Linked DNA regions of Callithrix jacchus. The protein of the gene in region 1 interacts with the protein of each later gene in a biochemical or structural test. Links are inferred from orthologs where the notes say so. Each region holds a gene or a part of one and is shown on either strand. Other genes may lie near its edges.

What was found.
Region 2: the proteins of SORT1 (region 1) and SORCS1 form a complex in vitro, tested with the Homo sapiens proteins (2 studies listed by BioGRID and IntAct, with this or other methods). The link is inferred for Callithrix jacchus from reciprocal best matches to the Homo sapiens genes SORT1 and SORCS1.

What each region holds. Positions count from the first base shown.
Region 1 is NC_133508.1:147,225,243-147,229,062, reverse strand, and holds part of SORT1 (sortilin), read left to right. Parts: intron 1-2,185; coding exon 2,186-2,330; intron 2,331-3,405; coding exon 3,406-3,561; intron 3,562-3,820.
Region 2 is NC_133513.1:99,578,598-99,582,417, reverse strand, and holds part of SORCS1 (VPS10 domain-containing receptor SorCS1), read left to right. Parts: intron 1-89; coding exon 90-195; intron 196-312; coding exon 313-473; intron 474-1,991; coding exon of another isoform or gene 1,992-2,127; exon of another isoform or gene 2,128-2,259; coding exon of another isoform or gene 2,260-2,281; exon of another isoform or gene 2,282-3,820.

The DNA.
Region 1 (3,820 bases):
GACCCTGTCTCATAAATAAATATAAATTGTGTGTGTGTGTGTGTGTGTGTGTGTATCCGGTAATTAAAATGGAGTGAAACCCCATCTCTACTAAAAATACAACAGCCGTGAAGAAATCTAAAGCAGACTAAGAAAGTGTCGGGAGTCAGTGCTCTTTTAGGGTGTTTAGGATGGACTCTCTGGGACTAAGTGAACTGAAAGCATGACCATGTGGCCATCTGGGAGGAGAGGAGGACGAGGCACAGCCAGTGCGGAGACCCTCAGCCTGGAGCATGCTTCATCAATCTAAGCAAAGGGGAGAAGGGCAGTATGAGGGGAGCATAGAGAAGAGTAGTCCAAAGTGGGACCACAGTGGGCCCGGCCAGACCTTACATGGCCTTTCTAGGTCACAATTAGAATATGGGCCTTACTCTTCCTGTTTTGGGAGCTGTGGGAGGGTTGTGAGCAGGGGTATGCTGGGATTTGGCTTCTCTTTGAAGAATAGGTGTGTGCAGAACAGCCTGACAGGGGCGCTCTCGGGAGTCCAAGCCAGGGAGGTGGTAGCTGGGCCAGGCCCTTGGCAGTGGGCGAGACTGTGGATATATTTATAAGCATATTGCTAATAGGACTTGCTGATGGATTTGATGTGGGTTGTGAGAGAATGAGCAGATTCAACGGTACCTTCAGAGTCGTCATCCTAAGTCCCTGAATGGTGGTGCCATTTCCTGGGATGGCAAAGACCGCAGAAGGAGCATGCTGTGGAGACAAATCAAGAATTCAGTTTTGGGCCTGTAATCCCAGCTCTTTGGAAGGCCAAGGCAGGCAGATCACTTGATGTTAGGAGTTTGAGACCAGCCTTGCCAACATGGCGAAACCCCGTCTCTACTAAAATACACAAAAAATTAGCCGGGCGTGGTGGCACGTGCCTATAATCCCAGCTACTTGGGAGCCTGCGACATGAGAATCACTTGAACTCTGGAGTTGGAGGTTGCAGTGGCGACAATCATGCCACTGCACTCTGAGTGAGACTCTGTCTCAAAAAAAAAAAAAAAAAATTCAGTTCTAGATATGAGACATGTATTAGATATCTGAATGGAGATGTTAAGTGAGCATTTGGGTATATGAATCTCCCTAATTGCTATGGTATTTGAAGCCATGTGACTAGATGATACCTTCTGGAGGGGTAAGTAAGTAGCAAAGAGGTAGGAGGACTGAGCAATCCCTGAAGCACCCACAACTGAAAGGTTGGAAAGAGAAGAATCCAGCAAAGAAGACTGGGAGGGAGAAGGAAATCAGGACTGTTGAGTTAGCCGGCCTCTTTCCAGCCCATGCCTATTCCCTTCCTCCTGGCCATTCTGAGAGAATTCCTTAGAGAGGAGGTATGTTACATCCTGACTTTTCTTGTGATCTCCCAAACATGAGTTTCATCGCTATTTTCTAGACTCTTAATTATATAAGTATTTAAATTATGCAGGGATCGTCTGAAAGGGACCAAACTTTTACGCATCAGTCATCATTTTAAGAATTATCGGAGTGAGTGTATGCAAATGGCTGTCAAGCCAGCCTAGTAATGTTCCCATCAAATCCTTAGCTCTGCTGAAGGAGATGGACTATCAGAGATCAGACATACAATATCTTACAGGGCTGCATCAGAATGAAGAATTCAGAGAGAAAGCCAAGATAGCCTTACTTAGAATAGAATGGATTGTTCCATTACCTGCAACTTTGCTAGCGGCTAGAAATTGCTTTGGTAATTGGTACTATGACCTTTCATTTATAGCCATTGTACCCAGTGGAGAAATTGATAATAGTAATTATTTAAAACATTCTTGGGCCTGCGCAGTGGCTCATGCCTGTAGTTCCAGCACTTGGAAGGCCAGGGTGGGCAGATCACAAGGTCAGGAGTTCGAGACCAGCCTGGTCAGCATGGTGAAACCCCATCTCTACTAAAAATATAAAAGTTAGCTAGGCATGGTGGCTCATGCATATAATTCCAGCTACTTGGGAGGCTGAGGCAGGAGAATTGCTGGAACTGGGACCCAGGAGATGGAGTTCACAGTGAACTGAGATTGTGCCACTGCTGCACTCTAGCCTGGGCTACAGAGTGAGACTTGGTCTCTGTAAAAAGAAAAACATTCTTGTTCATGTCCCTGTACATGGCATCTTGGCAGAAAATTAGAAAGATAAATATTGGCATCTGTTCTAGGATACAACAAGAAGGATCCACGTTTCAACAGATCAAGGGGACACGTGGAGTATGGCCCAACTCCCCTCTGTGGGGCAGGAACAGTTCTATTCTATTCTGGCAGCGAATGATGACATGGTATTCATGCATGTAGATGAACCTGGAGGTAAGAGCTTTTTGGTGGCTCGCCTTTGAAAGCATAGAGATGTAAGCTTTGAGCAGCTTTCCTTTTTACATGTTGAGTTTTCCTCTTACCCCTAGAAGTTCATTAGTGTCATACTGATTATTCTGTCCTAGAAATCATCTGTGGCCCCTGTTAAAAATGCCGCTTGTTTTGGTGCTCTAAGGTAGCTCGTGTGTATGTTCAGGTGTTCCAGAGCAGAGCTGCTCAAAGAATGGTCAGTAGACTGGTACTGACTGTGCAGACTCTCTGTTACCAGATAAGTACAGAGATTGAGAGCAAGAGTTTAGAAACTCTTCTGACCCTTCAACAAAGCAATTTTATGTCTGTTGGATCTAATGATAAAAAATTAGGGGTCTGTATTTTGTCTGCCTTTTCATTTTTAATGATTAGTATTTTATTAGGTTTACAAAAGCGTCAGTTTGTGACATATTGGAAATCTGGTGCGATCTCGGCTCACTGCAACCTCTGCCTCCTGGGTTCAAGTGATTCTCCTGCCTCTGCCTCCTGAGTAGCTGAGATTACAGGCGTGCGCCACCACGCCCAGATCATTTTTTGTATCTTTAGTAGAGACAGGGTTTCACCATGTTGGCCAGGCTGGTCTCAAACTACTGACCTCGTGATCCTCCTGCCTTGGCCTCCCAAAGTGCTGGGATTACAGGCATGAGCCACTGCACTGGCTGGAAGTCTTACAAATTGATCCTTCACCATAGATAGTTTAAAAAGCATTGTTCTAGAGTGTAAAGATTTAGAAATGTGGAAACTAAACACAGAAACTCTCCAAAATATATCTGGGAAGAGCTTTCTGTAGCATCTGATTAATTTATTCAACAAACTCAGCATCTGGCATATTCCAGGCACTAAGCTGGGTACTAGAATTAAAGATGGGCATAAAGATCTTGAGTATCAAACCTTGATTAATTCTCAGGTCTGAGTCTTCATAATGAAGAGACACAATTGGCTACTGCGTTTAGTCGGCAGACAATCGTGTGGTTAGACTATTGTTTTTCTCTTTGGTTCCACCCGAGACTTAGTATTTTTGTTTGTTTGCTTATTTCAGACACTGGGTTTGGCACAATCTTTACCTCAGATGATCGAGGCATTGTCTATTCCAAGTCTTTGGACCGACATCTCTACACTACGACAGGCGGAGAAACGGACTTTACCAATGTGACCTCCCTCCGAGGCGTCTACATAACAAGCGTGCTCTCCGAAGGTGAGTGTGGGCATCACAGTGCTGCACTGCACCTTCAGCTGCATGTGGTAGGGTTTGAGCCTTCAGGGGATCCTGTCCCCCGTAACCGTCACTTGCCAAGTACATTTTTTACTTGTCTTTTTTTTTTTTTTTTTTTTTTTTGAGACACAGTTTCGCTCTTATTGCCCAGGCTGGAGTGCAGTGGCGCAATCTTGGCTCACTGCAACCTCCACCTCCCAGGTTCAGTCGATTCTCCTGCCTCAGCCTCTCCCGAGTAGCT
Region 2 (3,820 bases), on another chromosome or scaffold:
TTACCGTGCTTGTGCGTGAAGAGTTTGAGCGTCTCAGAGTCTCACCTGCCCAGTTCTCTGCTCATGACCGTGTTTTGTCTTCCCCCCAGCCCCCCTGGTGGACCTCACTCCAACCCACAGTGGATCTGCCATGCTGATGCTGCTCTCAGTGGTGTTTGTGGGGCTAGCAGTATTTGTCATCTACAAGTTTAAAAGGTGCGTGTCCCTCCATCCACATCTCCTCACCCCCAGCCTCTTCCTTCTCCCTGACAGGTCCAGAAGCATGTGTTACAGTGATGTGCATAGCAGTGATGGTTTCTATTAATATTTTAGGAAGATCCCGGGCATTAATGCTTATGCCCAGATGCAGAATGAGAAAGAACAAGAGATGATCAGTCCAGTCAGTCACTCTGAAAGCAGGCCCAGTGTCCCTCAGAGTGAACTAAGGAGGCCTGGCCAGCTTATAGATGAGAAGGTGGAATCCCAACTCATAGGTAAATGATTCCCAGTAGCCATCAGCTGTTCAGCTGAGTAGGCAATGGCTGACTCTCTCTCTAACCCCTTTCTGGCTTGACATAACCACTTTCTTCTGCTCTAACACCCCTGAGAGAAACAGCTAAGATGGCTCTTTCCCTGCTTCCTCTCATTGGGATGGGGAAAAATAATAACAAACCTCTTGCTTCTATCTAGTTTTTTTCCCCTCTCATTAGTTTATTCCTCCTTTTGCAAAACCCTCCCTAAAATATTGGGCTTACAATGTTAAAATGTTACATGTTTATGGGGAAAGAGCAAAGCATTTGCTATAATAATATATAAGAAGGAGAGGCCTCAGAGGCTAGAGCTGGTGGCTCAGACAACTGGGCAGGGTTTGCAGGACATGGTTAGTATTGACTAGAACGAAACACGGTGGCCTCAACTGGATACAGCTCTAAAGAGGGCAAACTGCTTCAGAACGCTAGTAGAGGAGTGACGTAATGAGAATGACCAGCCTCATCATCCAGGGCAATTTTTTTTTTTTACATCTAGTGGTAGCTAGGAACTTTCTCTCAGGAGATATGGCACCTAAGAACTTGAGGACAAGAGTCATAAGGTTTGCAGACATCCAGGGAGTGGAGCAACCTCAGAGAGACCACACTGGTATGTGAGACTATTACATAGCAGATTAGCAAATTTCTTCCTCTTTTTTGACTGTCCCTTAGCAGAAATTGTAAAATAGACTTACTCATATTTCAACGGAGCCCTCTCTGCCTGTGAAGTAGGCACAGGAATCCAACAACTAGGTATGGAGAGTCTGACGTTCACTTGCTAGATCCTGCTACTTACTGCAGAAAGAATTTTCCAGGAAGTTAGACAAACCCATGAAGCCACTAGTGCTGATCTGCTTCTCTCTTTGGTTCTTCCTAAGACTTGTATGTATGATCACAGCCAGATCCTGCATTGCTGACAACAGTGGATAAATTACCGTATAACCATTTCTGCTCCACTGTAATGTCATCATGCCAGACCACCTGGCCTTTACATAACATTTTTAATCTTACTTGGAAAAAAAATGAGTGTATAAATGGAAACATGACCCTCTTTAAACAAAAATGAGAAAGGTCTGTGGCTGTGTTAAGGAGAAATTTAAATGCAGTAACTGGCTCCTATCATAGGTAATGATAACAGTGGCAGCCACATCTGGTGTCCGATTTTCACAGTGCACTTTCTTTTATTTGGGGAGACAAGGTAATAAAAGTGTAATTGCTGAGGGTTAAAAAGAAAAAAGCCTTTTCTGTCTTCAAGTCCACAGAGGCATTCACCCTGTCTACTCATTCCTGAAGCGTCTATGTGCATTTTTTGGTATCATTTGGTTCTCAGTTGCATTTCTGTAGGGTATAAAGCATAGCCTGTGTTTGTTTTATTAAAGTAGCAATTCCTCCTTCACCAGGAAGCTATCTCAGCACATTGCAGTCTCTGACACCTTTCCCTTTCCAGTGTCATTAAATGAGTAAGTGTTACACGTTTTCTCTTAGGAGAGTAGCTTTACCCTCCCCTCCCTCCCCTTCTACTCAACCTGGTGACTCATCTCTCCGATTGCAAAGAGCAAGACACGCCACTCCGCCTTCAACGCCAAAGCGGGGATCTGCTGGGGCACAATTTGCAATTTAAGGAAAACCCCCAAAGGCTACAGGCGACCTGCTGATCAGGAAAGAATTTCGCTCTTGTCAAGTACACCATCCTTCATGACCACTAACTTTGTGTTTTCTCTTTCCTTTGTTGTTCTGTTTCCTATTTTGCCAGGAAGTATTTCCATAGTTGCTGAGAATCAAAGCACAAAAGAAATCCCTATGTAAATGTTTGAATGGAGGACGCCAGTAAAACAAAACAAAACAAAAACAAAATAATATAAAATATAAACAATATCAAAATCCAAACAAACACTCACTGCATCGGGACTTTTTAATTCTTCAGACACAGACAACAAGGGTTTTTAGCTTTAAGCCTGTGCATGTGGACGATACTCTGAGAACATGTGTGGAGGGGCAGTGTACAGGTGCTCTATTTTAATGGAAAACACTCCCCTCTCCCTCTTTCTTCTCCTCTTTTTTCTGATCGGTCGTGTTTGTAGAAAATTCATAACATATATAGGCCAAGGAAATCTGCATGTATTTTTGGAAATATTCTTGGCTCTAGATTTATCAGCTATTTTAGCATTAAGGGCTGATGGGTGGATTAGCTACCCCAGCCCCTTTCATAAGACACAAAGACATGCACAGGAGTTTGAAACCCTGAGCTGTTTCTCTGTTCCACTTTCCATATTGTCATCTCCCTTCTAAGTTAGCTTTTGTAGCTCTGTTGGTCAGCAGTGGCCACAAGGCTGTTTTCTGTACTCTCTGTGGCCACAAAAACAAAGATGGGAGTTCAAGATCCCTGTATGCAGGTAGAATAGGGAAGGAAGGGAGGCAAAGCATGTCAGAAACGGACCTTGGTTTTCTGTTTACCTCTTCCCACCATGATTGCTTCCACTTGCAGCTTTCCCTACTCCTGCCCCACTGCAGTAGGAAATGGAACCCCATTAGTCCATTTTCCTGCCTTCACATGTGTCTATCAATCATCCTTGTGTGGCCATGATCTGTTGATGTCTTTGAATCTCTTCCCTCCAAACCCCAAGTAAGTTGTCCTTCAACTGTTGTCAATTATTTTTCCCAAACATGTTGCTAGATTCTGGACATTAACCCTAACGTTTCCTAAATAGCGGCCTGGCCTCTGCCACCCCTGCCTCCACCACTTGCAAGTTTCGGCTCCTTCTGTCAGTTTTGTACATTCCCAAGCATGCCAGTGTCTGTGCCCATGGACCTCGCTGTATCCTGCACAGCAGGGTTCAGTTTCATGTATCCTTGTCTCTTCCTCTAGAACCTGCCTTTTCCCACCTGGAAACATATACTGTATGTGAAAGAGTTGATATTATGCAAAGCTATTCAAACCTGGCCATGTACTTTGGAAAAGAAAGCATAGAGATGAATTGTGGTGGTCTCACAACCAAAATCTCATGAGACCTGATTCTAGAAGATTCTTGCGAGAAATGTTTTGAATGTGTGATGATTTTGCAGGGCGATTTCCTCCTGTGATGGTTGCTGTTACCCAACATTTCACTCTCACAATAGAATAGAAATGTTTGTGAAATTGATTTTAACTGGAAGGAGAAGCAGGTTAATGGACTTCATGTTTAAGAGTGTCAAAACGTCTGAGAGAATAAATGAGGGGGTTTTGTCTTACATTAGGGTGAGAGTTTGATATTTAGGATGATCTCAGTGATTTCATGTGTGCTCTCTGACCTCTGAGTATCATAGTATCATTAAAG